Linked DNA regions of Macaca mulatta. The protein of the gene in region 2 binds, or shares a complex with, the protein of the main gene of each other region. Links are inferred from orthologs where the notes say so. Each region holds a gene or a part of one and is shown on either strand. Other genes may lie near its edges.

Region 1 (4,208 bases), on a different chromosome or scaffold from region 2:
CACTGGGTGTGCAAGGCAAGGCATTATGCAAAGGGTGGCTTGCTCCCTAATGCCCCAGGCCTGGACCCCCATGTAGGGGTGGCCCATAGCCCTTCCCAGGCCTTAGCACACTGACATTCGGCGCTCGCACCTCCAGTCCATTTCACAGATGTGGGCAATTTGCGGAAGGCCATGCTGCTGATGGTGACCCAATGTGAAAACCTGGGCTGCCTGGCTCCGCCTCCTGCTGTCCTCCTAGAATCCTATCCAACCTTGTTTCTGCTCAGGACTGCCTGGGGCGTCACACAGTCCTGGTATTTCTTGGGCAACTACTACATGCAAGGCATGGCCTTGCCAGCTTCACAGGTTGGTTGAAGAATTGAGAGGACAGATGTCAAAACAGGTAAGTCAGTAATAACTCCTATCATTATTGCTATCATCGCCATCACTGCTGTGGATGGGAAAGGGGACAGGAAAAGAAGAACATCTCGTTTCTCCGGGTTCTGACACCTGCAGAGCCAAGGCGGCACCCCATCAGAAGCAATGCATTCTGGGGGGAAAAGTACACGAACGCAGACAGTTCCAGAAAAGGTCCCACCTCACACATTGCCGAACTCCATCCTGCAGGAGGGTCTCAAAGCTGCGGCCACGAAGGAGAGCCGTTTTGAGCCCTAGAGGCTGACTCCCCCATTTCCTCCCTCGTGGGTTTGTCATTTCTGAACTCATTTCTGCACTAACCGTCACTGCTCCCTGGACAGCCCCCAGCTGACAGTCAGTCTGGTTCCTGTTTTGAGAAATCTGATTGCAAATATCTTAGAAAAAAAAGGCCCTAACGGCCTTTTCAGAATGCAGACCAATTTTCCTCTCCCCGGCCTGACGTTCAGTCAATCCAAACACCCAGTGAGCAGGGCATGGCAGAGGGGGCCGGTGAGGGCCATGGGCATGGCACCCCTGCAGCGTCAGCCCAGGCTTAGACAGACACTTCAAAGGCTGAGGGACATCACAGAGTCACAACTCTTATTTCACGCCATCCACATTTCACAGATGAGAAGACTGAGGCCCAGTGAGGGAAGGGACTTGCCCACAGTCACAAGATAAGACCACGGCAGTGTGGACAGGCCCCATTCCCAGCCTGCTGGGGCACCAGGAGGCTAACTCTCAGGCATGCACGAGGAGTTGCCACACGACACAAAGGACCGTGGCGGGCACATCTGCTCCCTGGCGCAGGCCAGGGCAGCCAATGAAATGTAGAACCGGAAGTCTGAAGCCCTGATCTGTTGGCCAGGTGCCACCTGAGACTACCTGTGTGACTTGGCGCAGGCCACTCACCTCTGGAGCTTCAGTTTCCCCACCTGTTCCACAGGGACAAAACCACACCTGTCCTGGCCACCCCATTCGCTGCTGAGAGGCTCACACAGTGGAGAGATACTCCATCAGCCATAAAGAGCTGGACAAACCGCAGCAATCGTCCACATCCTGTGTACTTTTGCACCTACATCCTGAACAGTCTAAACTTTGATACCAGGTGTGATGTCAGTTGTCTTACAGGGGCGGCAGCTAAGGTCCAGCTGTTGCCAGTGTGCTGGGAGGGCCCCTGGTCAACAGCACCCACCGGGCACCATATGCAGTGCACGCCCGAGAAGGAATGTGGGGGAGAGGGCACGGCATGTTTCCCCCACCTGAGCGCGGTCCGAGGGGGAGGGCGTCCGCAGCACCCTAGGTCCTGCTCACCACGCCGCCCCGAAAGCACTCTCAAGCCCAACTACAGGATAGCGACTCCACCAGAGGGTGGGAGAAGAGTCCGGAAAACTGGCTGTCCCCCCACACCTCACACAAGTGTAGACTGGAGGGGAGACGGGTGGGGGTAGTGGAAACCCCAAGGCGGGTGCCGTGAGCAGGGACAGCAAAAGGGTGGGTGACATCGTCAGGCGAGGTAAATGGTGGCCGGCGGAGGGGAAGGGACCCCACAGGGACCAAGGGCTGCTCGGAGGAGGATGAAGGGGCGCGCCGGGCCCCTGTGGGAGAAGGCGGGAGCTAGGGGCTGACAGCGACTGGAGCGGGGGGCCGGCGGAACGCGATAAGGAAGCAGCAGGGCGGCCGGCGGGACCGGAGCGGGCCCGGGGGCCGAAGGGGCAGAGGAGCTCCGGAGTTGGGGCGCTCCGGGCTCAGGCGCCCGGGGTCTGGGGCTTAGCGTCTGGACCCGCAGGCGCCACGGCCGGGCTGCTCCGGGCTCGGGGGCCGACAGAGGGTCGCGAGAGCCGGCCCCGGGGGTCCAAGTCGCGGGGTCGAGTGTGGGGCCAGGGTCTCGGAGTCGCGGCCGGGGTGCCCGCGGGGTCGGGCCGGGGCCGCGGGCGACTTCTCCTCACCTGGGCTCGGGCAGCAGGATCTTCTTGCTGGCGCGCGCGGCCGGCGTGGCCTTGCTCTTCTCCATGGCCATCAGGTAGCTCACGTCGGCCAGCACCGCCTCCAGGTCCGCCATCTTGGCGGCGGCGCTGCCTCCTCCCGCCGCCGCCGCCGCCGCCGCCGCCGCCGCTCCCGCTCGCTCGGCGCTCGGCCCGGTCCGGCCGCGGCTCGGTCGGCCTGGGGCGCCGACGCCTCCCGCCTGGCCCCGCTCGGCGCCCGCGGCTCCGCTCGCCGCCGCTCACAGGCGGCGCCGCCCCATGGCGCCGGCTCGGGCCCGGCCCCGGCTCGCGCTCCGCTCCCGCCGGGACTGCAGTCGGGGCGCCGCCGCCGCCGCCGCCGCCGCCCGCGCGCCCGCGCCCCGGAGCCGCCGCCGCCTCCGGCCCCGCCTGCCGCGCACAGCGCCAGCGAGCCCGCAAGTGGCCGAGCCGGGCGGGCGATGGTGCCCCCTGGAGGCCGCGCGGAGACCTGCGACAGAGGGCTCAGATCCTGGCGGTGACCTCGGGTCTGGACGGAGACCCGGGCCTGGAACAAGACAGGGACCCGGCACGGAAGACGATCCCAGACCCATTCCTTGACCACAACCTCGGGTCACATCTCTGAATCCCAGGCTCTCCAGTCAGGCCGTGGTCCTGACAACAGACATGATCACAAGGAACCTGGACGCTCACCAAGACACAGATTCAGACCTCTGAACACCACCCCGGGGCTTTCATCTCAGACCCTGGCTATAACCCCAGACTCCCTGACCTTTGACGCAGTCCACGACCTGACACCAGACTCCAAACAGGACCCCAGACTCAAACCTTTGCCCGCCACCTCAGACTCTAACCATGACCTCAGATCACAGCCCTGGGTCTCCAACGCCATACCCAGACTGTGACACTCACCCCAGACCCCTAACAGTTCCCCAGATCCAGATTTTGGACCATGACCTCGATCTCATCCTGGTTACTGACCCCAACCTTGACTCTGACCCTAGGCCACTACCATGACCCTGCATCCTAGACTTGGGGTCAGGGCTCAGACCTAGATTGGACTATCAACTCCAGACCACTGTCCTAGGCTCAACACCCAGAACTGTGGACACAGACTTGGGACTAGGACATCTAACCTGGGACCCACATTGGACCCAGAATCCTTAGTAGGTCACCCAGAACCTGGGATCTGACAACTACAGTCCAATTACAGCCTTCCCCCATCCCCGATCCCACCCCTCCTACTCTAGAACCAATCCTGGCCCCTGCAGGCCCACTCTGGATCAAGTACCCTACACCCAACCCCACCCCCTAACAGGCTCGTAGACCCAGGTCCCTGGCCAGCACTCTTGGCAGCTCCCTTCCGTGTACCCCATCCCATCTAGACGCTCCTTCAGGATGGTTCCACATGTAGGGTGAAACCTCTCCCAGCCTGGGAGGGCACAGAGGTTTCAGTGCTGCCTGGTAGGGGAAACCCACCCGAGAGCCCACCCAGAGTGAGGAAAGCCAGGTGTCTCAAGGCAGCAGTCCTATCTCAACATGCCCCTCTCTAGACCCTCTCTTTGCTTTTGAAGTGATAGGACCCTCCTCCCAGCCCTGGGCACATAGAGCTCAAATCTCATTACCATGTTGTGGGCCAGCAACCAGGATCCTTTTGCAAAGCAAGGCTCCCATCTCTGTGCACTTCTAGGCTACCTTCTTGGATCAGTCCCAACAGAACCTGGAACCAGAGCATATCAGAGCTAGTGAGGTTCTCCTCTCAGTGAGTGGTGAGCCCCAGGTTTCTTTTCCCTAACTGCTCCTTCATTTTCTCCCCTTCTCTAATTTGTCACTATAGTCTCCTGTCTGGCC
Region 2 (2,880 bases):
CTGTCACATGGTGAGGGGGGCCTTCTGTCAACACTCAATAACCTTCGATTGGATCATCACCAGCCAGAAGCTCCACTTCCTCCCAGGGGGATCTGAAGGCCCATTTCAGCCACCCTCCCCCACCTCCTGCAGACACCACACAGCTGAGCATAGGGGCCAGTGTGTGCTCTGCCAAGGCCTGGGCTGGCTTCCACCGCCTTTCAACAGCACTATGACTGTGGGACTTGGCCGGAAATGGCTCCACTTTGGTCCCCCCAGGCTGGGGAGAAAAACAAGGGTGTTTAACCAGGACATGAGAATGGCACCCATCCGGAAGCAGGAAGCCCCGGTAAGGGCCAAGACCTGGAGCCATGCTCCCTTCTTCTGTCCTCCCAGGTACTGAGACGAATGAATCTAAGAGTCTGTAAGTGTCAACAGTTCTCAAATTGAAATGCCCAAATGTCTACTTTTAGTAAGGAAGCCTCATCTTTTGTACATCTAGTGTTTTAATACACCTGGCAATAACATGCTTGCCTTTGATATGTTAACTGTAACAGCACCCAGAGGTGTCCCTGCATGGCGCTCTGCTCCCCTGATGCAGAGTTCAGAGGGGAAAACATGGGACTGGGCCCTGGAGCCTGCACAGCTGACCCTCTCCTGCCCACTGACCCTCCCCAAAGCCCTCCCCCGCACATGTGGGAAGATCTGCTGGTGCTCTTCGGAGTCCACTTGCCTGGAGGGCCAGAGCTGGGCCATCAGTTTGCGACTATCACTCCTGCTATACCATGCCACAGTCCCACTGATACTAAACACTGCAGCTTATCAACAACTCTGTGTCTGCCCTAAAGATGCCACATAAATGTCCAGGAGACACAGAAAAGCCCCCCGGTCACGTACCTGCCCGGTCGGCTTTGAGCGCGTCCCAGACGTTGCAGTTAAAGTCGTCGTACCCAGCGAGGAGGAGGCGCCCACTCTTGGAGAAGGAGACAGAGGTGATCCCACAGATGATGTTGTCGTGGGAGTAAGTCATGAGCTCCTGGTCGGCACGAAGGTCAAACAGCCTGCAGGTGGCATCGTCTGAGCCAGTGGCAAATGCATTGCCATTTGGAAAGAACTGGAAAGAGAAAGCAAATCAAGACATCATGTTAACACTCAGAAAGAAATATTGGGCATATGGACTGCTCAATGGTAGGGCTGCAGAGAACACAGCAAAGACCAGCAAGACTGTGCTCTGGTAAGAACAGAGGGATGGGCCGGGCACAGTGGCTCACGCCTGTAATCCCAGCACTTTGGGAGGCTGAGGCGGGTGGATCACCTGAGGTTGGGAGTTTGAAAGCAGCCTGACCAACATGGAGAAAACCCGCTCTACTAAAAATATAAAATTGGCTAGGACTGGTGGCGTGCACCTGTAATCCCAGCTACTCGAGAGGCTGAGGCAGGAGAATCGCTTGAAACCGGGAGGTGGTAGAGGTTGCAGTGAGCCGAGACTGTGCCATCGCACTCCAGCCTGGGCAACAACAGCAAAACTCTGTCTCAAAAAAAAAAAAAAAAAAAAAAAAGGCAGGGGAGGTTTCCCAGGAACTACAGGGGATTGGGATGGAAGGGGATTTGCACTGGGGAAGCACATAAACACTGTGATCTTGGACACTGTGATTACTGTCCCCAAAGAGTAGAATTTATTTCAAAGGAATAGTGAGAAAGGAGTCATCACTGACAGGTGCTGTAGCTGCCAGACATCAGGGCTAATCTCATGGAGGAAGGAGCGAAGTGGGCTGAGCAGGGCAGTGGTCAGGACTGCAGCAGAGCTCTATCCAACCAACAGATACATCCTTCCACGTCTCCTCACAAGGCCAGGGGCTGGAAACACTGCCTAGCCATCTGCGTGCTAAAGAGGAGAGCAGGTTTCCTGGTTAGCTGTGCCCCTGACCAGTAAGGCTCTGTAACCGGTAACTGGTGGCCTGAGTTACCTTACTGTCTCTCCCCTCCAGGATCCCAACCGCTGCTCAGCTGTACAGGTGGGAACGGGGACTGGCACATAACAGACACCCTGTGAATATCTATAAGACAAGTGGTCAACATAGAGACGTTTCCCACGGGGAGTTTTCTGTATCCCCATCTGCAGACGAGGTTGTATAAGGATCAGAAAGGAGAACATCTAATCCAGAAAAGTTTAAAATTTAGCAATCTGAACGGCTAGCAGAGACAGCAGAGGCCCCGACCCCACACCTTCACCCAGACTCACGCAAATGGCATTGATGTCAGACTCGTGGCCGGTGAAGGTCTGCCGGCACATGCCTTCTCGCACATCCCAGAGTTTGGCTGAAGCATCACAAGCACCAGAGACAAACAGTCTGGTATCAGGAGCAAGAGAAAGGCTCATGACATCTCCAGTGTGTCCGGTAAACGTGGTCGTCTGCTGGCCGGTCTCGATGTCCCACAGGGCACTGGAGCAGGAGCGAATGACAAGGGGACATCAGCCTCAACTTCTCGGGTGGCTAGTCATATGACAGTCTGTCCTTCAAACCACCCAGGGCCACAGTGAGCCTCTGCACTGTTACTTTAAAAACGTAAATTGTTTAAAGACAAATTTAAATGTAATACAACTTTGGAAGGGAAACAAAGCAAAGTAAGCAAAATTATACAGAGATGAGCACACGGCCTGGGTTTCAGAATGACGGGATCACTACCTCAACTCAAACGCCAGCAAAGAGGGAGCTAGGGGCACTTTTCAAGCAGCAACACTGAGGCTGTGTCCCACTCTTCAGTCATGGATGGGCATGGAGGGGGTGGCAGGAAGCCATGGGGAGGCCCTGGATAGCGGAGGGGGATGCGACTCTACCTGTGGCTGCTCCCTCTGTGCCCTCCCCTGGCCTCCCCTCCACAGGATCTTAGAAAAGGCAG
Region 3 (4,097 bases), on a different chromosome or scaffold from region 2:
TCAGGATTTAATTAGGAGGAATCTCCTGGGACATTCTTTCATCAGAGCCACAGGAGACAAAAACTAAGATGAAGCATTTTACACATTTCCTCATTTGACGAAAAACACTTTAGTATTGGGACTAATATGAATTAGCACTACACTTCTGGCAAATTATCTATCACTAAAACTAACCTTCACTACAATTATTGTTTATTTATTATTATTTTTTGAGACAGTCTCACTCTATTGCTCATACTGGAGTGCAGTGGCGCAACCTCAGCTCAATGCAACCTCCACCTCTCGGTTCAAGCGACAGTCCTGCCTCAGCTTCCCGAGTAGCTGGGACTACAGGCACGCGCCACCAATCCCAGCTAATTTTTTTGTATTTTTAGTAGAGGCAGGGTTTCGCCATGTTGGCCAGGCTGGTCTGCAACTCCTGATCTCTGGTGATCCACCCGCCTCGGCCTCCCAAAGTGCTGGGATTACAGGTGTGAGCCACCATGCCCGGCCCCTACTCCAACTATTTTATGAGACAGACTGTACTGCTACTTTACCTTCATGTTCTGAGTTTCAGTTTTACCATTTGGAAATCAAACCTGGTTAAATGGAGGATGATGAAAAGAGCAAGTATAACATAGATATATTCGGAAAGATTAATTATCCCTTCCCCAAAGAATTGATTCCTACAGTAAAGTTGTTTTTTTTTTTTTTTTTTTTTTTTGAGACAGAGTCTTGCTCTATCGTCCAAGCTGGAGTGCAGTGGTGTGATCTTGACTCACTGCAACCTCGGCCTCCCGGGTTCAAGCGATTCTTCTGCCTCAGCCTCCGGAGTAGCTGGGACTACAGGCACCTGCCACCACGCCCAACTCATTTTTTGTATTTTGACTAGAGACCGGACGTCACCATATTGGCTAGGCTGGTTTCCAACGAGATCCACCTGCCTCGGCCTCCCAAACTGTTGAGATTACAGGCGTGAGCCACCGAGCCCAGCCCATAATTTTTAACAAAATCTTAAGGAACTGTAAAATAAAGGGATGAACCACCTTAACTGTGCTAAAGTTAATCAGCTCTCAATCAAGTGCTCCAGTGCTGAATAGATAGACATTGCCTCAAAGAATCCAATGAACAAGAGCAATTTAAAATCTAATTTCACATACAAAACAGGAACGCTTGAGTAGAAAGGCAAGGGAGTGACCACTAAGCCCTGCTATTTAAAAAGAAAAACCAAACAGTAAAACATACACCCACCCTTATGAAAGGAAAATCACAGCTAACAAAAGCCTATACTGTCATTTCCTGGGAGTCAATTCTCTGAGGAGACGGCTTGGTCAAATGAGCAATGGAAACAGTTGGAAGTTGTGGGGAGAGTCAGGAGTGTTGGCATCTCAAACCCTCATTTCTACCCACAAGGCGGCCTTAGCAGTAACTCCAGATTCTCTTTTCCTGATCATGGTCATGCCATGCTGAGAATGGTTTCAGTCAGGCTTCTCAAACTTGAAGAGGGATCCGAGCCTTTCTGGGAAGGCTCATGCATGGCAAATGTTGGCTGCCACGGCACAAAGCCAAGTGCAATCATGTAAGCTCAACTGACAGACCCAGCAAAGTTAGTGTAAGGCTTGTGAACTGCCTTGAAGAAACAGGCAACATCTTCTTCAAACACGCTTTTTTTCTAAGTTTCAATCCTGCACAACTCCCAAGACACTCTTCCTCGGCTTCACAACTCTTAAAAAAGGTAATAAAAGGTTTCTATTGCCATCTGCCCAACAGCATGAGCATTTCGCTTGATGAAAGACAAGCGGCAAACTAACCTGGAAATTCCTGTCTTTTTGCGAAGACAGTGAGAAAACTAAGCTAATCAGAAAGCAGACTGAAAGATTCCCTACCTGGCTCTTCCTGGACAACCCTAAAGCAACCCTTAACATGAGCAAAATTCCCTTCGAAAAGTCATACTATATACTACGGACGCATCTTCTAAGAGGTGCTGAGTGGGTGATACGTGCTGTGGATGGAGAGGATGGAGAGCCAACTCTCTAAATGCAAGTCACCGGGAAAAAAAAGGGCCGCCCATGTCAACCCCCGCGCCAGCGTTAATTCAAACGTCCAGAATGTGAAAGGACAGAGCAACGCAAGGGTTCTGTTTCCAGAGCCAGCAAGTATCCTAGGACAGAGAAGAGAAGGCGTTCACACACCCTGGGCAAAAGAACCTACTGAGAAAAAGAAAGTAGAATCACAGCAAAGTCCAGGATCTGGGAAGCCTCCTCCACCGAAAAGCAAAGAGGGCGAGGAAGAGACACCCCAGGGTGAAGCGACTCAGGATCCTCCAAAGCAGTGGACTCCAGGGCGCCATCCTCGTCCTCCCCTCCCAGAGTAGGGGGTCGGGGGAAGCTGGGGACGAGCTGGTGACAAGGGATCGCGGGGCTCGAAGCCCGAGGAGAGTCGCCCGCTCCCGCTGAGGTCTCCTCTGCACGAAGCAGAACGTGTGCGGTAGCCGCAGGCCGGGATGGCCAGGACCTTCCGGGCTGGCCCGCGCGGCCCTCACCTTGTCCGAGTCCAGGTCGGGGTCGGCCTGGCACAAGCGGTACAGGAAAGATTTCGGGTCCCGGCACAGCGTCTGCCTAGTGGTGAGGAAGTAGGTGCCGCCGACGTTGAGCCGGACCCACTTGGACACGCTGCCGGGGCGCTGGGCAAGGGCGCCGAGCCCCGCGCTGCAGCGACGGCACAGGCCGCCACCCAGCCCCGCCCCGAGGCCGCCCCGGGCCGGCGGCAGGAGCTCGCAGTGATTCTCCGCCATGATCCCAGCAAGCCCCGCCACAGCTCCGTTCCACCGGAAGCGTCCGGCTTTTAATAGCGTCCTCCGAGTTCTGTCCCGCCCACAGGTCCGCCCCGGTAGAGCGCCCGCCCCGGCGTCACGCGACAAGCGGAAGTTCCGGTCCGGAAAAGCAGGAGGCTAGGCCCGCTTCCGGCGGGAGCGGAACCGGCGTGATCTGGGCGCCAATGCTGACGGACTGCGGCGGCGACCTGCCTCGCTTTCCCAAAAGCGGGGTGAGCGCCTGACCCAGACCCTAGCCTCTACCCACACCGTGACCCCAGCTCATGCACCGGTCGAAGGAGGAGCCACACCAGCAGACGTCTACACTCTACATGCTTTTTATTACAAGACTACCGAATATACGAGGAAAATTGATCATCTGGTAACTACCCCTGAAGGACAAATATTTGGGGGGGAAAAAAGAATAAACAGATTCATTAAATGATATGATTAAATCATTGACCCAATACAAAATTTATATAATAAGGGCAGGGCCTGGTAGCTCAAGTCTGTAATCCCAGCACTTTGGGAGGTCCAGGCGAGCGGATCACGAGGTCAGGAGATCGAAACCATCCTGTCCAACAGGGTGAAACCCCGTCTCTACTGAAAATACAAAAATTAGCCGGGCTTGGTGGCGGGCGCCTGTAATCCTAGCTACTCGGCATGCGGTGGCAGGAGAATGGCGTGAACCCGGGAGGCGGAGGTTGCAATGAGTTGAGATCTCGCCACTGCACTCCAGCCTGGTGACTGAGCGAGACTCCATCTCAAAAAAAAAAAGGAAGAAAATTTATGTAATAAAGTCAGAAAAAAGTTTTAAAATATAGTTTATAGTAATTGTTCACATTTAAGGCTGTACCTCTATGCATACAACAACGTGGCCCCGAACATGAATTCAATCCATATAATTCGTATATTAGAATTTAGGCCGGGCGTGGTCGGCGCAGTGGCTCACGCCTGTAATCCCAGCACTTTGGGAGGCCAAGGTGGGCGGATCACAAGGTCAGGAGTTCGAGACCAGCCTGGCTCGGTGAAAGCCCCTGTCTACTAAAAATACAAAAAATTAGCCGGGCATGGTGGCACCTGCCTGTAATCCCAGCTACTCGGGAGGCTAAGGCAGGAGGATCAGTTGAACCCGGGAGGCGGAGGTTGCAGTGAGCTGACATCGCGACACTGCACTCCAGCCCCGGCAACAGGGAGACTCCGTCTCAAAAAAAAAAAAAAAAAAAAAAAAATTTGGCCGCGCGCGATGTAATGCCAACACTTTGGAGGCCGAGGCGGGTGGATCACGAGGTCAGGAGTTCAACAT
Region 4 (4,014 bases), on a different chromosome or scaffold from region 2:
CAGCGCTGCGTGTGTTTGTTCATTCCCAAGCCACAGGAGCCCTTGTTTCTTTCATTCAGTGAGTTGGCTGAGGAGAGGGGAACGAGTGGAAACGCACAGCTTCCACACCTTTTTAAAAGGAGCTCCTTACGCATGTGGACGAAAGAGAAGTGGCAGCGTCCCCACCCCTGCGTTGGTGGATGGAGGTGGTGGCGAGGTGACGATGCCTGAACATCCTGGCTTGGGGCTGCCGGGCAGCCGGAGAGGAGACAGAGGCTGAGGGCACAGCCCGTGGCCCTAGACCCCAGCAGGCACAGCCCCTGGCCCTAGACCCCAGCAGGCTCAGCCCCTGGCCCTAGACCCCAGCAGGCTCAGCCCCTGGCCCTAGACCCCAGCAGTCTCCTGGTGTTCCACCCAGGAAAGGGGCTCTCCCTGGAGGCCTGGACATCGCCCTGGGATCTGCCCGCAGGGCTGGCCTGAGCCCATTTCTGTCTGATCGTTCAGGGCTGGTTCCCAGCCAGGCGCAGTGGCTCACATCTGTCATCCCAACACTTTGGGAGGCCGAGGTGGTGGGATCACCCGAGGTTGGAAGTTCAAGACCAGCCTGGCCAACATGGCAAAACCTTGTGTCTACTAAAAATACAAAAATTAGCCGGGCATGGTGGCACGGGCCTGTAATCCCATCTGGTTGGGAGGCTGAGGCACAAGAATTGCTTGAACCCGGGAGGCAGAGGTAGCAGTGAGCTGAGACTGAGATCTCACCACTCAACGCCAGCCTGGGTGACCGAGTGAGACTTTGTCTGAAAAAATAAAAATAAAAATAATCTTTTTTAAAAAGGCTGGTTTCCCATCAGAGACAGGCAGGGCCATACAATAGTGCTCAGGGAGGTGCCCAGCCAAGCTCTGGTGGGGCTGGGGCGGTGGCTGTGCTCACAACAGGCTTCCCAGCAGGGGTTCAGGCACTAGAGGGTCTTCTCCCCATCTCCTGCAACTTCCAGCAGGAAGCAACTACCCCGTGACTGCCCGCCACTCCCAGAAAGCCTGGTCTTCCCATCCCTGCCCCTGGCTGACCGGAACGTGCGCCCACACTCTCAACAGCAAAGGGCGTGTGCCTCCCTGTGCTCCCAGGAGAAGCCCCATCCTGATGCTTCCTGGTTGGTGTCACAATGGCCAAAGGAATGTGGCTCTGGGGCCAGACCAAGGGTGGCCCTCTGTCTTGAGTCCCACTCATGGGCTGCTCCAGGCTAAGCTGGTCAGCACTCTGAGGCTGGAGGTCCCAAGACCCTGCTATGGGCCAGAGCTCCAAGTGTCCCCCAGTGAAACTGCCCTGAAGACATGTGATGGGTGCGGTGGCTCACGTCTGTAATCCCAGCACTCTGGGAGGCCAAAACGGGCGGATCACCTGAAATCAGGGGTTTGAGACCAGCCTGGCCAACATGGTAAAACCCTGTCTCTACTGAAAATACAAAAAAAAAAAAAATTAGCTGGGCGTGGTGGTGCACACCTGTGATCCAAGCTACTCGGGAGGCTCAGGCAGGAGAATTGCTTGAACCTGGGAAGCGGAGGTTTGGGCCACTCTAGCTCGGGCAACAGAGCAAGACTCCATCTAGGAAAAAAAAAGGAAGGAAGGAAGAAAGAGAGAGAGAGAGAGAGAGAGGAAGGAAGGAAGGAAGGAAGGAAGGAAGGAAGGAAGGAAGGAAGGAAGGAAGGAAGGAAGGAAGGGAGGGAGGGAGGGACAGACAAGGCATTCAAGTGGAGGAGATCCTATTTCCTGAATCACGTTTCATATGACCCAGCTCAAGGGGCCCAGAACCGCTTCTCCGTCCACCACTCGGCCGGTGAGGGGTAGCGGAGCTGCCCAGGGCCACAGCGTGTGGTGGGGCAGTGAGGTCGAGGACCAGGAGCCCAGCAAGGGCCATTCGCTGAGGCCTCAGAGATGAACAAGTGGGCTGTTCCTGGGATACCACATTAGGCAGGGAGGGGAGGGCGGTGCTCAGCGTGAGAAGGAAACACTCTTACCTGGATGGTCCTGCGATCTGGAGTAGACACCACGCACCTGCACACAAAAGACCACAGTGTGAGAGACGCTCGGGGAAAGCCTCCAGAGAAACCGAGCCCGTCTCCATCCTGGCCACTTGGGGACATTACCTGAAAGTTGTAACAAAATAGCAGCAGGCGGGAGTACCAGCAGCACAGCCGCAGCAGCTTTGCCATGGCTTTCTGGGAGGTCAAAGCTCGGAGCCAAGTGAAATTCCTGAGGGTCTGTGAGAACAGGACCTCTTAACCTTCACTTCCTTGGAAAAGGGACATTTTCACAGGTTCCAGGGGGGAAAAAAAAGTTCTGTCTCCTTAAAGTTTGTGAAACGCAGCTGTTTTGGAGACCTAATGGGTGTTTCTTCCTTGTCTCAAAACTTGAGATTCTTCAGTGATCAATAAACACGTTGCGATGACCAGAGCAGCTGTGGAATGCAGGGAGGAGAAACCCAAATCCGACTCACAGTCCTGGGAAAGCAATCCCAGGTCACCACTGTGACCGCGACCTGCGCCCGGGGATGGGAGGCTGTTTGTCCTGCGGTGTTTTCTTTTTATTTAAAAAGCCTCCGTTTGTCTCGGTCAGGTTTGGTGCTTCCCTTTTCTCTGAAGAAGGTTTTGTGCGTGGTTTTTCCCTGGAGCGCCCGCCTGCTCCTCGGACTCGTCCTGCGGCCGCTCTGGAGCTCCTTCTGGTCTGGCTCAAGTTCACACCTCCGTCCCGCTCTCTGGGTGGAGAGGGAGTGAGTGATGTAAGTCTCTCTCCTCAAACCTTGTTCTGTTCTCCTTCTCTATTTATATCCCCACTGCTGTGTCCTTCCTGGGTCCTAACTCCAGCCTCTTAACAACAACTGAAATATTTTCAGGATCTCAGGCTCAGAATCAAGCCAGACAGACACGGGCTGTGTGTGTGTTACTGATGCCTTCTGGTCGGCACCCTCGAAGTCAGCATAAATATTAATAAATACAAAATGCAAAACAAACCATAAACTCTGTTTAGATCTGAGTCTTGTTTGCCTCCGAGAAAGAATGAAGTTGATAGAGGGATGGAAAAGAAAAACCAGCACACCCACTGTGCCCTCCATATTAAGTGTTTACCACATTTTTCTCTTTAATCCTTTCAGACGTCAGTGAAAGCTACAGAATTAATTACAAGGTACGCTGCCCAATTATACCATACCGCATATCCCCCCACCCCAGCACCAGGAGGATGTTCTCAGTGTGACAGAAAAGAGCCCCTTCTCCAGACATGCCTCAGTTTACCCAAGACCAAAGTTTATCCTATCTATTCCAAATCCACGTGTACACACAGAGACACACACCCTATAATTGCAATCACAGCTATATTTGCTATGTGATTTCAGTAATACTTACCCTTCATAGTTTCTCCCGCATTCACCAGCTGTGTTTCTAGGCAAACTACTTAATCTCTCTGTTTTCAAATTCCTCATCCGCAAAATGAGGGTTAACAGTTCCTCCTCCTCGGGGCTGTAACAATAAATTAGAGGACAGATCCAAGGCTCTTCAGGCAGTACTTGGAAAATATGTGGCACTCAATAAATGCTGCTATTTTTTATTAAGAAAAATTATCACTCAGTAAATGTTAGCTATGATTATTATTAGCAAGTATAACACAACACCCAGTAAACGTTAGCTGATACAGTTATCTCAATCGTCCTGACTTTAAATGGGAATTAAGAACCCCGAATCCAACATGCTTCCTAAAGAGGATAAGAAATGACTTCCAATCTCTGTGGGATAGAAAAAAAGAAAGTGCTGTCAAAACGTTAGGTGATTATTTTTAACTCGTGCCTGCAGCCTATAACCACTCAGATCCTCTGATAGCCTGAGCCTCTCTGTGGAGCTGGAGAAGGTTTCCAGAGAGTTCCATCTCCTAGCACTAGAGAAACTGTGAACTCCAAAGGCCCAGGGCTGTCTGTAATAACGACCTTTATCCTGTTGCTCAGGCTGGTCGGCTTCAGGGAAAACTAATTTACAACCTTTATC
Region 5 (4,300 bases), on a different chromosome or scaffold from region 2:
TGCTACTCCGTAGTGAAGTCCGAACTTGGCATCCCCTCTCCCTGACTCACACCCCTGTCCTCATTTGTCCCCTCTGCTGTGTCTTTGCCTCTGCGTCCCAACATGGAGGAGCCCTGATTCCTTAGCACCTGCAGCCCTCTCCCAAATGCCCTGCGCACCACCGAAGAAGAGAAATAGAAGAGCAAGGGGTCCAGACTGGCATTGAGTGAACTGAACACCACCGCTATTGACCGCCACCAGGGGCTTTTTCTCTGGTGATACCCCACCAGGTGGGACACGTTGTAAGGTCCGAAGCACACCAGGAAATTGAGCAGCGTCACCACAGCCAGCCCCACGGCTCGGCGCCGTTTCTGGGCCCCCACATGGGGCTGGGAGAGCATGATCCACACAAAACGCCAGTAGCAGAAGATGGTGACCGCCATGGGGATGAAGAAGAGCACCAGGCACAGCTCCAGCCGCACGGGCAGCACCACGTCCAGCTGGTGATCGGTGAAGTTCTCGTAGCAGGTAATTTCATTGCCACTTCTGGCCTGCTCAGTCGTGTTCAAATACTGAACAATGATCACAATGGTGCAGTGACCAAAGGACATACCCCAGGCCACCAGAGCTGCAATCACTCCATACAGAGGCCGGCGGGAGAGCTTGTACTGCACGGGGAAAGCCACGCCCAGGTAGCGCTCAATGCTGATGCCCGCCAGCAGCCACGTGCTGCAGTAGATGCTGCTGTAGAAGCCGAAACTCGTGAGGGCACAGACGATCTTGGGCAGGTACCAGCGGAAGTTCGATGCGGCCTCGATGATCTTGAAAGGCAGCAGCAGCAGCAGGAGGAGGTCCGCCAGCGTCAGGCTGAGCAGGAGGATGTGCACGGGTGCAGGCTGGGGCTGGCGGACCCGCCCCACAAAGGCCCGCAGGGCTAGGAGGTTGGCAGGGAGGCCAGTGAGGAAGATGATGATGTAAGCCATGAGGATCAAGGAGCTCTTCCAGTCTGGCGGCATCCTGGAGGAGAACAAAAAAGGGCGGGGTCAGGGGGTCTCACTCACAGCCTGTGCAGCCAGCTCTTGTTCAGGATGCAGACATCCTCCCCGGCACCGTCCCCTTCCCAGGACAGTGCTTTCTGATGCCACCACGGCTTGCTCACACCACCTGCTCAAACTACCCAGAGCAATTATTGACTTTGCCTTGGGCGGGATATTAAGCAGTAGTGATGATGTTTGCCATCATGTGTCTCTGGGGGAGACCAACCCGTGGCTTCCCAAGGGAATTCCCCCTCCATTTTCCCTAGCCTTTCTCCTCCTATCCTCACAGATACAGGAAGTTACTGTTATCAGTTTCTAACTTTACCCAAGTCCCTTTCTCAGACAGAGACCTGCAGGAGAGAAAGGCATCAGTGTGGGGAGAGAGCTGTAAGACATGTGTCAGGATAACGAGGCTGTGGGGCCCCAGGCGCTGATGCCCAGTGCCAGCTCTCCACAGGACCCAGGTGCCCAGCCACCAGCCCAGCTTCCTACTTCCCTTCCTCTGTTTTGCAGGGCACAGATTCTCCCCCACCTTGTCCTCCTCTGTCCAACACCAAACTGGGACTCTCTAGAAAAGGGGAAGCTGGGCCGGGCGCGGTGGCTCAAGCCTGTAATCCCAGCACTTTGGGAGGCCGAGACGGGCGGATCACGAGGTCAGGAGATCGAGACCATCCTGGCTAACACAGTGAAACCCCGTCTCTACTAAAAATACAAAAACTTAGCCGGGCGAGGTGGCGGGCGCCTGTAGTCCCAGCTACTCCGGAGGCTGAGGCAGGAGAATGGCGTAAACCCGGGAGGCGGAGCTTGCAGTGAGCTGAGATCCGGCCACTGCACTCCAGCCTGGGTGACAGAGCGAGACTCCGTCTCAAAAAAAAAAAAAAAAAAAAAAAAAAAAAAAGAAAAGGGGAAGCTGGAGCCGGACGCAGTGGCTCACACCTGTAATCCCAGCACTTTGGGAGGCCGAGGTGGGCAGATCACCTGAGGTCAGGAGTTTGAGACCAGCCTGGCTAACGTGGTGAACCCCATCTCTACTAAAAATACACACACACACACAAAATATTAGCCAGGCAAGGTGGCGGGCGCCTGTAATCCCAGCTAATTGGTAGGCTGAGGCAGGAACCTGCTTGAACCTGGGAAGCGGAGGTTGCAGTGAGTCAAGATCGTGCCATTGCACTCCATCCTGGGCAGTAAAAGCAAAACTCCATCAAAACAAAACAAAACAAAACAAAAAAAATGGAAAAGGGGAAGCTGAGAGGCTTAGAGGAGGGTGGAGGGGAGGAAGGATGAACCAGCACTAGCCTTAGGAGGAAGGCTTGTCCCCAGAAGACCTTAGAGAAATATTCAGAAAAGCCCACAGGCTTCACCGGCCCTTGAGCCTGACATTCTGACCATAAATAGAACTCGTCTTCTTCACAGGGTAACTCAGTTTCCACTTGGGGTGTCACCCTTGCTGGCCCCCAGCCCTGGTCCTGTCCCTCCATCCTCTCTCCACCCTTGATTTCCTGGCTGTTTCCTTGCTCCTCACACTAGCTCCTGTCCCTGGATATGAGCCTTCCATTTGGTTCTGACATCCTTCCTCCAGTCCCCTAGAACCTTCCCCTCAAATCTGATCCTGGCCTCTCTTCCCAGAGCACAAGTACTACACTAGCTGCCTTGCCTTGTGTTGTTCCGGATAGATGGCTTCTTGGGATTGGTTCTGAAGGGAGGTCTGCAAGTTTCCGGGAGAGAGGAACACAGCTTTAGCCCCTGCTTCTGTCCATGCCATGCAGGAAAAAATGGTGAGGAACCTGGTTGGTAGGAAGCATTTATACCAGCACCAGCCACGTGACCAGAGAAAGGAAGGTCAGTCTTTAAGCAATATTTCCTCTCAAACCCAAAGGAAAGGCCCAGCATCTTTATTCTCTCGAGAGAATCTTCACTCTTGACTTCCAAATGCAGATTTTTCTGTCCTTAATTCTTGATTAAAATAAAAATTGCCAGGCATTTTTCTTTTTTTACTTCTCAAGTCAGATTGTTTTCTCTTCTCAGGCAGTTTCTTCTGTCATTCTGCTCATTCTCAGAAATGAGCTTTCCCTTTTGAGGGTGAGTCTTGCTCTGTCGCCTAGGCTGGAGTGCAGCGGTGCCATCTCAGCTCACTGCAACATCCGCCTCCTGTGTTCAAGCGATTCTCCTGCCTCAGCTTCCCTGGGATTACAGCCACCTGCCACTACGTCCAGCTAATTTCTGTATTTTTAGTAGAGGCGGGGTTTCACCATGTTGGTTGGTCTTGAACTCCTGACCTCAAGTGATCCGCCTGTCACGGCCTCCCAAAGTGCTGGGATTACAGGCATGAGCCACTGTACCCAGCCCTCCTTCCTTTTCTTCTTCAATTTTTTTTTACTTTCTCTATGGTCTCCTGCCCTCTGCCCCCAACACATTTCTTTTGCCCGTCCTGGCCTGCATCTCGTTATGATAGAAATGGTGTGGGAGTTACAGTTATGCAGATAGATATGGGCTCATATCCAGGTCCCTTCATTACAACCTTGGGGCAGATCAGTTTCCTGAACTCTAGTTTCTTATAGTCAAGTGAGCATGTGAATTCTGACATCCGAGGACTTCTGCGAGGATTCAGTGAGGTTGTGTATGTAAGCACTTACTAGATGCCCGTTAGTGTTGCCTCGTCCCAAGCCTGTAACACAGCTTCATAGAGAGTGAGCCGCTTGGTGCAGCCTCCAGAGGCTCAGGGCATGGACGTGCCATCTCTCTTGGGAAAGTGTCAGGAATTCAGGAGGCCCGAGTTCACGTGCCCGTGTGGCTTTTCGTCAGGGAGTGGCACTCAGGCTCCATTCCTTTCCCTGATAAAGTCTCAGTTTCCCCCTCTCTGACCTCGGTAGCCCCAGGTTAGAAGCTCCTGAAGGTCTCTTTGAAAAGCACACCTGAGGAAGCAAGGATCGTCAGAACGTGTTTTCCTCTTGACCTAGGGAAGAAGTCTAGGGAAGAAGTTTCTGTTCTGCCGTCTGTGGCCTGATTCCTGCTCACAGAATCCCCATTCTTTCCCTAGGACATACCTATTTCCTATCGTTTGCCATTCATTCATTCATTCATTCATTCAGTCAGTCAGTCAGTCAGTCATTTATTCTTTTTGTGGTCTATAAGGGTCCACATATTTTGATATTTATCTTTTCTTTCTCGTCCACTCTACTCTCCTCTGAAGGTGTTCTAGTTCTTTATTTCCTTCCCCCCAGCACACGTCACTTCTCAGATCAACAGGAGAACTAAGAGAGACCGTTCTCTGTTATTGCCAC
Region 6 (4,040 bases), on a different chromosome or scaffold from region 2:
GAAAGAGAATAGCAATAAGAGACTTAAGAGTTTCCCCTTCCCCTCTTCAAATGTGGATTCCTTAGCACTAACTGAAAGAATACTTTTCAAAAATAACTAGTTGATTCCATTTAACCACAAAGAAAATGTCTCAGCTCCCTTATATTTTTAAAAAACAATCAGTATACTATGGGATACTTTCTGACTCAGTTGCTTATGACAGATACCCTTCTCCCTGATGTTCTAATATTTCGGAAGTCTTTGAATAGAAAGAACAGACAATATTAAAGACACATTTTTGTACATAGTCACTGTTATAAAATGTACAGCCAACAGCCTATCACTGAATTATTTTTTAGCTTAAACACATTTTGCCATAAAAGATAAATCTAACAATTCAGATATTCTAAATATAGACATAACACAAAGGCACAGGCAAAAATACTACAACATGATCACTTCTATGCACACATATCTTTAGATCTCTGTGAAGTATGGCACAAAAAGTAGCACAGTTTTTCATAAACTGTATAATTTGATTGCACTTTTGCTTCATGGTTCACTGTAAAATTCTAAAATTAGTGTTTATGTGCTCACATTATTCACCCTACTGAGAATTCTCTCAAGAGAATAAAACATAGAACATTTGGCTTTCTAAATGACAGTGTTGAAACTTGCAGTGTAGTTATGCTTTGGCATACATAAAAAATAATTTCTAAAACCTTTTAATTTATATTTTACTATTCCCTGTTAGAAGAAATCAATTGCACATGAAGCCTAAATAGCTGGAAATAACCCACAAAGTGACAACAAAATGATGACTTTTTAAAATGCTGACGCTTTTCACACTCAGGTTCAGTCATGCCAGCTGGAAAGAGGTGTTAGATATGGCTTTATTCATTCTAAATCTGAGAACTGTAGTCATTTCCAAGACATTTCAAAAATTGAAAGCAACAGCAATTTGTCTTCATGATCTTAAGTCTTCTAATTCAAAAGCACTTTTGAAAACCATTTCTACAAACTTAGAAGGTATCCGTACGAATAATTTGCATGCTATTGCTTAGAGTCAAAGTATTCTGTCTCAGATTTCCTAGTGAATGAGGAATACTTAGAGATAAAACACACACACACACACACACACAGGGGAACCCCGTAACTGAGCCACTTCAGATACGACATCCATTAAGAGGGCCTTTGCTTCTAACTGTGTAAGGGTCGTTGGCTGTAGTCTGACTTGCACAAGAAGTACACATAGCCCCTGAGAGGCGCTTTAGTCCTCTTTGGAATACACTGTTGGAGAGACTATAAATGACACAGTTGCAGAAACTGTTACTAATAGCAAGCCAGGTGGTCAAGAAGGATGCGAAGCGGTTGCTGTGGCCAGTGGAGCTTTCCAACAAGAAGTAGATGATATATGGCAACCAGAGGATGTAAAATACACTAGTGATTCGAAACAGGACCATGGCATAGCGCTTATCAGGACAGGCCTGCACTTCCCCAGTCTCCCCACTCTGGCTGCTGAAGCGGGCTTGCCTTTCGCTGATTTCTTTTGTGTGCTGTTGACAGATGCGGAAGATGTTGAAATAGGTGAAGCAGACAATAAGGGCTGCTGGGGCATATAACATCATCACGATGAACAGGGTGAAGTAGGAGTCAGTGTGCCAGGATTCCGCACACCACTGAAACACATCTCCATGATATCCAGGTTTGCCCCAGTGGAAAAAGGAAGGCAGGAAGACCAGGGTCGAGTATAGCCAAATCAGGAAAATACACAGGCGTAGTCTCCAGGGTGTAACCAGAGTATTATAGGTTAAAGGTTTAGTAATGGCAATGTATCTATCAATGCTGATACAAGCCAGAGAAGCCATGGAGACGCTCTTCAGAACTGATACTACGAAACCAAATATCTGGCAAGTCAAGGACTCCTCTACTGGAAGGGGGTGATGGAGGAGTGATAAAGAAGGGACCAGGCAGCTCACCCCAACAAAAAGGTCAGCATATGCCATAGTCTGGATAAAATAACTTGTAGTGTGATGGTTCAACAAAGGTGCACAGTGAAATACAAAAATCACAATGATGTTGCCAGAAATAATCAATACAGTTAGAAAGACAATAATCAATACTTCCAAAAGGCAAAAATTGACAGTTTCCAAATAGCCAAATGCCAAGAGGCAAAAAGGGTGGCTGCTCTGATTACCATCCAAGGTGGAGTTCATCTTGAGCTCAGGAGTGATCTGTCACTTCATGCTGCCGCTTGGCTGCTGCCAACAGTTCAAAGAAGCAGCTGCTGTCATTGCGGTCAGCTTTGCATGTGTGTAATAATGCCAGAGGAGCCTTAGTCCCCAAGCTCCCGATGCTGCTGCTCTGGTGCATTGCCTGCAGTGCAATTCCCCTTTAAATCCTTCCTGGAATAAGGAGAGCCAGCAGTAGTTGTCTGGCCAGTCCCAGACGTGGCCATAGCGCCAGGTTCACCATACACATAGCACCAGGGGAGCAACGTAAACTCTGGGGACAACGTCTTCAGGCCAAGTGAGGGTAGGGGGAAAGGGTAGAAGAGAAGGGAAGAAGATTAGGAGCTTCAGCAGGAGTTGTAATGAGTCTCCTCTGAACAGCTGATAGAAGAAAAGGAGAGAGCATTTTACATTTCACATCCAATGCCCTAATCAAAGAACCTGGCTAGCTCAGGCTGGCATCATCCCTCCCACTCCACCCCTACTAGCACCACTATTCATGGCTACCCTCAATAGCACCCCACATAACTGATCTGTACTGTATAGAGGAGCAGCAGCAACATCAAGCTTTCAAGATCAGCATAAAACAAAACCAATCACAGTCAGATTAATTTACCCCCATTTCCTTTCATTTGAGACTTGGGGGAAAAAGGGAATTTGCTTATAATATTTATGAAAACCTTTCACTACAATTACCACTAATAAAAATAGCCAAAATAATTTACTTTCTTCATTGATTCCAATATAATATTTTGCCTCTTTGAAAACATTTCAACAGAATTTGCTGTTTAGTTCAATTTCAGAATGTTACCTGTAATTCTGCATGCTGCAATCCAAACAAAAGCCACAATACATCCTTAACAGAAAGCCTTGCAAAGCAGGAATGTGCTTCAACTCGCGTACTGCAGAACTGAGACACGAAGGGAGGGGATAAAGGAGTAGGAGGGGAAACAGGGAGAAGAGGGGGCTTGGGAAAAAGAAGAAAGGGGGAGGGGAAAGAAAACGCCTGTATGTGCACACACTCCGGAATCTTTAGCAACTAATTGGAATTCATCGTCAGAGAGGTGCCCCCTGATTTCCAGATTGCACAGTGTGGGAATGGCTTGCTATGCCTGCAGTGCCTCATTTGAAAGCTGTTTCCTCGTCTGTCTGGAATCCCCCTTTTAGTAGATAAGCAGAATTCAGGCTGCTAGCAAGGAGAAGGGGCAGGAGCAGAACAGGGTGTCAGGAGTTAGACTGAAACACACTGCCAGAGTGGTAATTCCTATTTTCTCATGGCATTTTCCCAAAGAACAAAGAGCAATATTAAAGAAAGGAAGTATATTAACCTCCTTTAAGTGTATGGCATATGGCAACTGACAATCATAATTCAGCTGCACAAGAAGTTCTAGCTAGAAGGCTATTCACCATTAATTTTGTCTCTCATGATTCACTGAATATTGGCCAAGAAACTTTAAAATCACTTTTTCAAGAGAAAAGTAAAGTATTTCCCATTCTGAATACTACAGAAATAGCACAGAGAAATTACATTGTTCCCATATTTGACACTACCCTATAGTTTTGAGATACATTTCTTGCTTCTAATTTGCTGAGCAGTATACAAGAATACAAACAAAAGATAGAAAAGTAAATGTACCTTCTTCTACTCAGGCATGGATATTACAGGAGGTTTCATGGTACAAATAAGCCTTTGTATCTTAGAATATACAATCTTGTTTCTGCCTATTTAAAACAATGCAAACTGGGATTATATTGTGGTTTTCCTAGTAATGTCATAAATGATGACAATTTTCAGGTAACAGAGTTGGGTGCTATGAAAATGTGTAATTT
Region 7 (4,239 bases), on a different chromosome or scaffold from region 2:
GCGCATCCCAGCACCAGGCATCGAACTTCCCTGGGCAGGATGGAGAAAAGCTGCCGCCCGCGGGTGGGCTGCTGGCGGGGACGCCCAGCGGCGGGGCGGGGCGAGACAGGGGCGGTCTGCAGCGCTGCAGCCGCAGGAGCCCTCAGGGCTCCGCAAGCCCGGCCGGTTTTCGCCAGAGTCTCTCACCCCTCGTGCCTAACCCAGTTCCAGTTTTCAGAAGGCCTTTAGGGTTGTCCCAAGGTTTCTCTCTGGAGTCTAGGTTGACTCCCCTCTCCACCCTCTGAGCCCTGCTTGGGCCATGGCCATGACCCTGGCGGTGGCTGCAGGCGCCCCGAGCTGTGGAGCAGGGGCTGCGCGCCAGAGCTCTGGAGGGCGTGTGGCAGAGCGTGGGGACTGGTCGTTGTGTGCTTGTGTCTCTGGCTGCGTGTACTAGGGGAAGGGCAAATCACACGGCTGCCACATACCCACTGCCACCCAGCGCTAAGAAAAGAGCAGGAAAAACAAAACAAACAAAAAAGAAAAGAAGAAAGGGAAATAGAAAGTCAATGTGGGGGATTCCGGAGCTTGAGGAGTGGGAGGCGCCGCATTCTTCTTGGCTCGCGGCGCCGGGGCTGGAAGACTTGGAGCCCTGGGTGGCCGCCGTCACAGACCTGCTGTGGCGGTGAACTGACCTAAGGATGTGGGAGGGCAGTCTGGGTGAAATGTCCACCGACAGTTCTGCTGGCATTACGCGTTTACCTCCGATTCTCTGTTCTCCTCCAGCCTCTCTGCCCCTGGCGACCCTCCCTGCTGGTATTTCCGTATATGCAAGAGCCTTGACAACATCGCCAGGGACTGGCGGGTCGGTGGACTCTGCCTGGGACAATTTTGTGTCTCGGGGCAACCTCGAGGTCGGCGATGAGCAGGAAGATAGAGAAAGGGATGCGGGTGCTGGAGGCCGACGGAGGCAAAGGGTGTGCCGCCGTGTGTGTTCTTAATGCTGGGGAATTTTCACCTCTCCCGGAGGAGTCTCTACTTACCCCGTGAGGGGCCCCAGGGGCGCCCGGCAGCGCGCATAGGTGGAATTTCTGCGCGTCTACCGGTACCAGGCATGCACCTCACCTGTCCGGGTCCGAGAGCTACAAGTTAGCGGCGATTGCCTGGGACCTCAGGTGCGGACTGCAAGGGACATTCTTGGGGGGAGGGGGGAGGCGTACAGCGGTCCCCAATCTACGACCCCGGGGACTACCGGGGCGGTTCAGGACCCGTTGTGAGTTAGGTGGCAAAGCCCAGGCACAGTCTGGTACCTCATGAGCTTCGGGCTGAGACCTTGTCCCCTAGCCACGGCGGACAGTCTAGCTCCTGCGAGGGGCTAAAATAGAATAGGATTGCAGAATGCTTCCCTCTCCTTTGTCTTGGGACCCTTTCCCCCATTCTTAATGCTTCTCCTCCTTGGCCATGACCCGGAGACCGCAATGGGAAACCTCTCCAGCCCCCAAGGGCTGCTTCGAAAGCGGAGCCGGGGGACAGCCTGGAGCCCGGGCGAGCCGGGCCTCCATCCCACACGCACAGAAGACGCGGTCAGACCCCAGCAGGAAGGAACCCGAGGGGCGGGAGGGACGAAGCTCTCCTTGTCTTGTCCATGGCCGCATCTGGAGTGGGTGGCGGGAGGGGGGGCGGCAACAGTAGAGGGTATGGGGGGCTGTTGGGAACGATGCCGGGACAGCGCGGCTCCGAGGCTGTTTTCGCCACATTCGGCTGGACTCAGTGACCGTCGGAATCGTAGGGGTACCCCGCCCCGCGCTGTGCCTCATTTGCCCCTTCCTTCCATACCCGCCATCACTGCCCCCAACCCTCCAAGCCCCAGGATCCAAAGTTTCCGTTTGAGAATCTGCACGTGGGGAGGACCTCCCTCCAATTCCCCCAAGCCCCGACCCCTGAGCGTCCGGTTTGGGGGGATATGAAGGGAGAGACCCCCTGGTGCCAGGGTCCTCGGAGTGGGTAAGCGGAGAGCTGCACAGCGCGGGGCCCTTACCTGTCGCTGGTTTCGCTCCAGTTGCCTCCCCGGCTGCGAGGTGGTGGAGGCTTGAAGGAGCGAGGAGCCGTTTGTGGGTTCAGGGCCGATCCGCCCGGGCTGGAGCTGCGCACCGCTTAGAGTCCGAGGCCAGCCGCCGGTTCTCTTTCTCCCTTGATCTTGCAAAAGAAAAGGAAAAGATTAGTTGATGCCGAGACACTGGAGGGGTGGGGCGGGAGAGGCGGGAGAGGCGGGAGAGAACCGACCCAAAGGCTCTGGCGAGAGCTGCGGGGCTGGCGCGCTTGCAGGCAGAGTCACGCACCCCACACTCGTCTCAGCCACTTGGCTAGTCTGTGACCTGTTCGTGGTTTAGACTGGAGTTAAATTGACGCTGCCCCCGCCCTCCACGCCAAACCACTAAAGGAGAAGCAAACAAGACTTTCAAACCTGGCTTTCACGAAGAGCCTGGAGACCAAAATAGAACGGAGACCTGGATGCCTCGGCGAGCTGGGTTGGATTCATTTCTTCCCCAAAGTGCTTGGGGAAGTAGGAATTAGTTTTGGGGAGGCAACACCTATTCCGGTATCTCGGCGATTTCCTGGTGAAATCTGCGATTGCCAGGCTCTGGCCAACCGGCAGCCTGGAGCGTGTGAGTGTGTGTGTGTGTGTGTGTGTGTGTGTGTGTGCGCCCGCGCGCGCTCCGTAGGTCTTTGCGCCCGGGCGCCTTTAGTACAGCAGGAGAGCGTGTCTGTATTCGTGCGTGTGTGTTCGATTAGCTGCAATGGACGGACAGTTTCTGGAGAGAACATTTACAATTTTCTTTCAGTATGACAGGATTAGTTGCTGTTGAAGGCTCTCCCCCAATGAAATCTTCTGTGCTCTCTGATTTGGCGGTTCTTCTGAGCAAATATGACAGCCTTTTCTCCAGGCTCTTTTTCGCTCCTCTCCATTTCCATCCCCAGAGCCCAGCTCTCCATCTGCAATTTCTACATCAGAACCACCCCCAACCCCGAGTCCCTTCCCTGCAAGTGTGTGAGTGCTACAAAGGTGACATGGCATATTGGGAAGAACGCAGTATTGCCTTTTGATTGTCGGAGATACTTAAGCTCAGTTTATTCAGGTGGGAAAATGTTAGACTAAACCCCCTATGCTTTGTAAATATATAATTGTACTGAACTATTCACATATTGTTTATTTCTTTGGAGCGTTGACAAATGTATTCGAAGGAGAAGTAATTTTTTTTCTCTTATTTTAAACATGAGACAGTGACCATGTTTTCTTCACCTAATGGGCAGTAGACTACAGAATACACACACACAAACACACACACACAATATATATATATACAGAATATATATATGTACACACACATACACACAGAATATATATATATATATATATATGTTTGATGCTTCAGGGAATTTGTGATCTCCATGAAAAAAAATTAGGATGCAAACTTTCTGTGTTCAGACCTGCCTCTGATGTTTATTCCTTTATTTTAATGAGAAATTTCTTCCAATAATTGTATCCATTAGTTTTTAGATACTAACCTCATTTGACAAAAGTACAATGATAGGATTCTAAAGTGTAGCTGAGGCCAAAACTTGCTTTTGTAAAGGCATATGTGTATGTGACTATAACATCGATATATATTACATAGGCTGTATTTTCTCTCATCCAACTTCAATCAAATAAAGAGCAAGAAGTGGAAACTTTAAATTAAATAGCCCAGAATTGGACATATCACTTTTTGGGTCACAGGGATAGCCAAAGAGCAAGTTAAAGATACATTGATATAATATAATATGGTCAATTAAGTTGTTAAGTTCTTGATGTCCAGGGCTTTGCTAGGTATTAAAGGACATCCAGAATAGCAAAATCCACCGCTCCTGTGTTTTTATAGGCTTCTATTCCTATTGACAAGAAAAGACACTTCATATGAAACATCTATGTAACAGTTGACAATCTAATGATTAATTTTATAGCAATGTAAATTTATTGATAAATGGAAATGCTGTAGCTGAAAGTTTCTGCCCTTTTTGTTAACTCATAGCTATCACCAAGCAGGACCTGACACAAAGTTGATTTTGCTTGATTGAAGTCATCCTAAAATATAGCATTATAATACTGTACCTCTGCCTTCAACCTCCATACTCACATCCCACCATCACTGGGTGATTATAAGATACCTGTGAGAAAATCAAAACAGCCCTGTTAAGTTTTGTTCTCAGCCTCTCCCAGCATTT

Evidence for each region.
Region 1: the proteins of GNB1 (region 2) and GRK2 are in contact, whole or in part, in a crystal structure (PDB 5UKL), measured with the Homo sapiens proteins. The link is inferred for Macaca mulatta from reciprocal best matches to the Homo sapiens genes GNB1 and GRK2. Residues at the interface, in NP_001269468.1 of Homo sapiens: Leu55, Ala56, Lys57, Tyr59, Ala60, Gln75, Asp76, Gly77, Lys78, Pro94, Leu95, Arg96, Ser97, Ser98, Trp99, Val100, Met101, Leu117, Tyr145, Ser147, Asp186, Met188, Cys204, Asp228, Asn230, Asp246, Ile270, Cys271, Asp290, Phe292; in NP_001610.2 of Homo sapiens: Tyr553, Gly556, Lys557, Asp558, Phe584, Pro585, Asn586, Arg587, Glu589, Pro597, Gln598, Leu600, Thr602, Glu604, Ala654, Leu657, Val658, Val661, Pro662, Lys663, Met664, Lys665, Asn666, Lys667, Arg669, Pro671.
Region 3: the proteins of GNB1 (region 2) and KCTD5 are in contact, whole or in part, in a cryo-EM structure (PDB 8U7Z), measured with the Homo sapiens proteins. The link is inferred for Macaca mulatta from reciprocal best matches to the Homo sapiens genes GNB1 and KCTD5. Residues at the interface, in NP_001269468.1 of Homo sapiens: Arg52, Gly53, Leu55, Lys57, Tyr59, Gln75, Asp76, Gly77, Lys78, Thr87, Asn88, Lys89, Val90, Ala92, Pro94, Leu95, Arg96, Ser97, Ser98, Trp99, Met101, Leu117, Gly131, Asn132, Val133, Arg134, Val135, Thr143, Tyr145, Gly162; in NP_061865.1 of Homo sapiens: Val157, Arg159, Val160, Leu161, Gln162, Cys163, Gln164, Glu166, Glu167, Gln170, Met171, Thr174, Met175, Ser176, Asp177, Trp179, Ser190, Tyr191, Val205, Lys207, Leu209, Glu219, Ser221, Lys223, Ala224, Leu227, Gln228, Arg230, Gly231, Ser232.
Region 4: the proteins of GNB1 (region 2) and ADGRD1 are in contact, whole or in part, in a cryo-EM structure (PDB 7EPT), measured with the Homo sapiens proteins. The link is inferred for Macaca mulatta from reciprocal best matches to the Homo sapiens genes GNB1 and ADGRD1. Residues at the interface, in NP_001269468.1 of Homo sapiens: Arg52, Asp291, Val307, Ala309, Gly310, His311, Asp312, Asp333, Phe335; in NP_942122.2 of Homo sapiens: Ser593, Val594, Ser595, Arg598, His819, Lys822, Val823, Leu826.
Region 5: the proteins of GNB1 (region 2) and FFAR2 are in contact, whole or in part, in a cryo-EM structure (PDB 9CM7), measured with the Homo sapiens proteins. The link is inferred for Macaca mulatta from reciprocal best matches to the Homo sapiens genes GNB1 and FFAR2. Residues at the interface, in NP_001269468.1 of Homo sapiens: Arg52, His54, Leu55, Asp312, Ser334, Phe335; in NP_001357016.1 of Homo sapiens: Arg37, Gln38, Pro39, Gln40.
Region 6: the proteins of GNB1 (region 2) and GPR21 are in contact, whole or in part, in a cryo-EM structure (PDB 8HJ1), measured with the Homo sapiens proteins. The link is inferred for Macaca mulatta from reciprocal best matches to the Homo sapiens genes GNB1 and GPR21. Residues at the interface, in NP_001269468.1 of Homo sapiens: Gln44, Arg46, Thr50, Arg52, Ala309, Gly310, His311, Asp312, Asp333, Phe335, Lys337; in NP_005285.1 of Homo sapiens: Pro57, Leu58, His61, Arg313, Arg317, Thr324.
Region 7: the proteins of GNB1 (region 2) and CHRM2 are in contact, whole or in part, in a cryo-EM structure (PDB 7T96), measured with the Homo sapiens proteins. The link is inferred for Macaca mulatta from reciprocal best matches to the Homo sapiens genes GNB1 and CHRM2. Residues at the interface, in NP_001269468.1 of Homo sapiens: His54, Leu55, Asp312, Asp333, Ser334, Phe335; in NP_000730.1 of Homo sapiens: Val50, Asn51, Arg52, His453.

The regions. Positions count from the first base shown.
Region 1 is NC_133419.1:7,118,544-7,122,751, forward strand, and holds the start of GRK2 (beta-adrenergic receptor kinase 1), read right to left. Parts: upstream 2,801-4,208; 5' UTR 2,459-2,800; coding exon 2,346-2,458; intron 1,491-2,345; exon of another isoform or gene 1,309-1,490; intron 1-1,308. UniProt on the Homo sapiens protein: Specifically phosphorylates the agonist-occupied form of the beta-adrenergic and closely related receptors, probably inducing a desensitization of them. Key regulator of LPAR1 signaling.
Region 2 is NC_133406.1:238,916,187-238,919,066, reverse strand, and holds part of GNB1 (guanine nucleotide-binding protein G(I)/G(S)/G(T) subunit beta-1), read right to left. Parts: intron 2,424-2,880; coding exon 2,222-2,423; intron 1,094-2,221; coding exon 877-1,093; intron 1-876. UniProt on the Homo sapiens protein: Guanine nucleotide-binding proteins (G proteins) are involved as a modulator or transducer in various transmembrane signaling systems.
Region 3 is NC_133425.1:3,916,721-3,920,817, reverse strand, and holds the start of KCTD5 (BTB/POZ domain-containing protein KCTD5), read right to left. Parts: upstream 2,801-4,097; 5' UTR 2,774-2,800; coding exon 2,522-2,773; exon of another isoform or gene 471-2,521; intron 1-470. UniProt on the Homo sapiens protein: Its interaction with CUL3 suggests that it may act as a substrate adapter in some E3 ligase complex. Does not affect the function of Kv channel Kv2.1/KCNB1, Kv1.2/KCNA2, Kv4.2/KCND2 and Kv3.4/KCNC4.
Region 4 is NC_133416.1:138,337,995-138,342,008, reverse strand, and holds the start of ADGRD1 (adhesion G-protein coupled receptor D1), read right to left. Parts: upstream 2,801-4,014; 5' UTR 2,194-2,800; coding exon 2,128-2,193; intron 2,036-2,127; coding exon 1,999-2,035; intron 1-1,998. UniProt on the Homo sapiens protein: Adhesion G-protein coupled receptor (aGPCR) for androgen hormone 5alpha-dihydrotestosterone (5alpha-DHT), also named 17beta-hydroxy-5alpha-androstan-3-one, the most potent hormone among androgens. Also activated by methenolone drug.
Region 5 is NC_133424.1:46,711,541-46,715,840, reverse strand, and holds the start of FFAR2 (free fatty acid receptor 2), read right to left. Parts: upstream 2,801-4,300; 5' UTR 2,674-2,800; exon of another isoform or gene 2,660-2,673; intron 2,216-2,659; exon of another isoform or gene 2,100-2,215; intron 997-2,099; 5' UTR 996-996; coding exon 3-995; 3' UTR 1-2. UniProt on the Homo sapiens protein: G protein-coupled receptor that is activated by a major product of dietary fiber digestion, the short chain fatty acids (SCFAs), and that plays a role in the regulation of whole-body energy homeostasis and in intestinal immunity.
Region 6 is NC_133420.1:24,744,776-24,748,815, forward strand, and holds GPR21 (putative G-protein coupled receptor 21), read right to left. Parts: upstream 2,801-4,040; 5' UTR 2,196-2,800; coding exon 1,146-2,195; 3' UTR 275-1,145; downstream 1-274. UniProt on the Homo sapiens protein: Orphan receptor.
Region 7 is NC_133408.1:176,693,419-176,697,657, reverse strand, and holds the start of CHRM2 (muscarinic acetylcholine receptor M2), read right to left. Parts: upstream 2,801-4,239; 5' UTR 2,441-2,800; exon of another isoform or gene 2,260-2,440; intron 2,173-2,259; 5' UTR 2,015-2,172; intron 1-2,014. UniProt on the Homo sapiens protein: The muscarinic acetylcholine receptor mediates various cellular responses, including inhibition of adenylate cyclase, breakdown of phosphoinositides and modulation of potassium channels through the action of G proteins.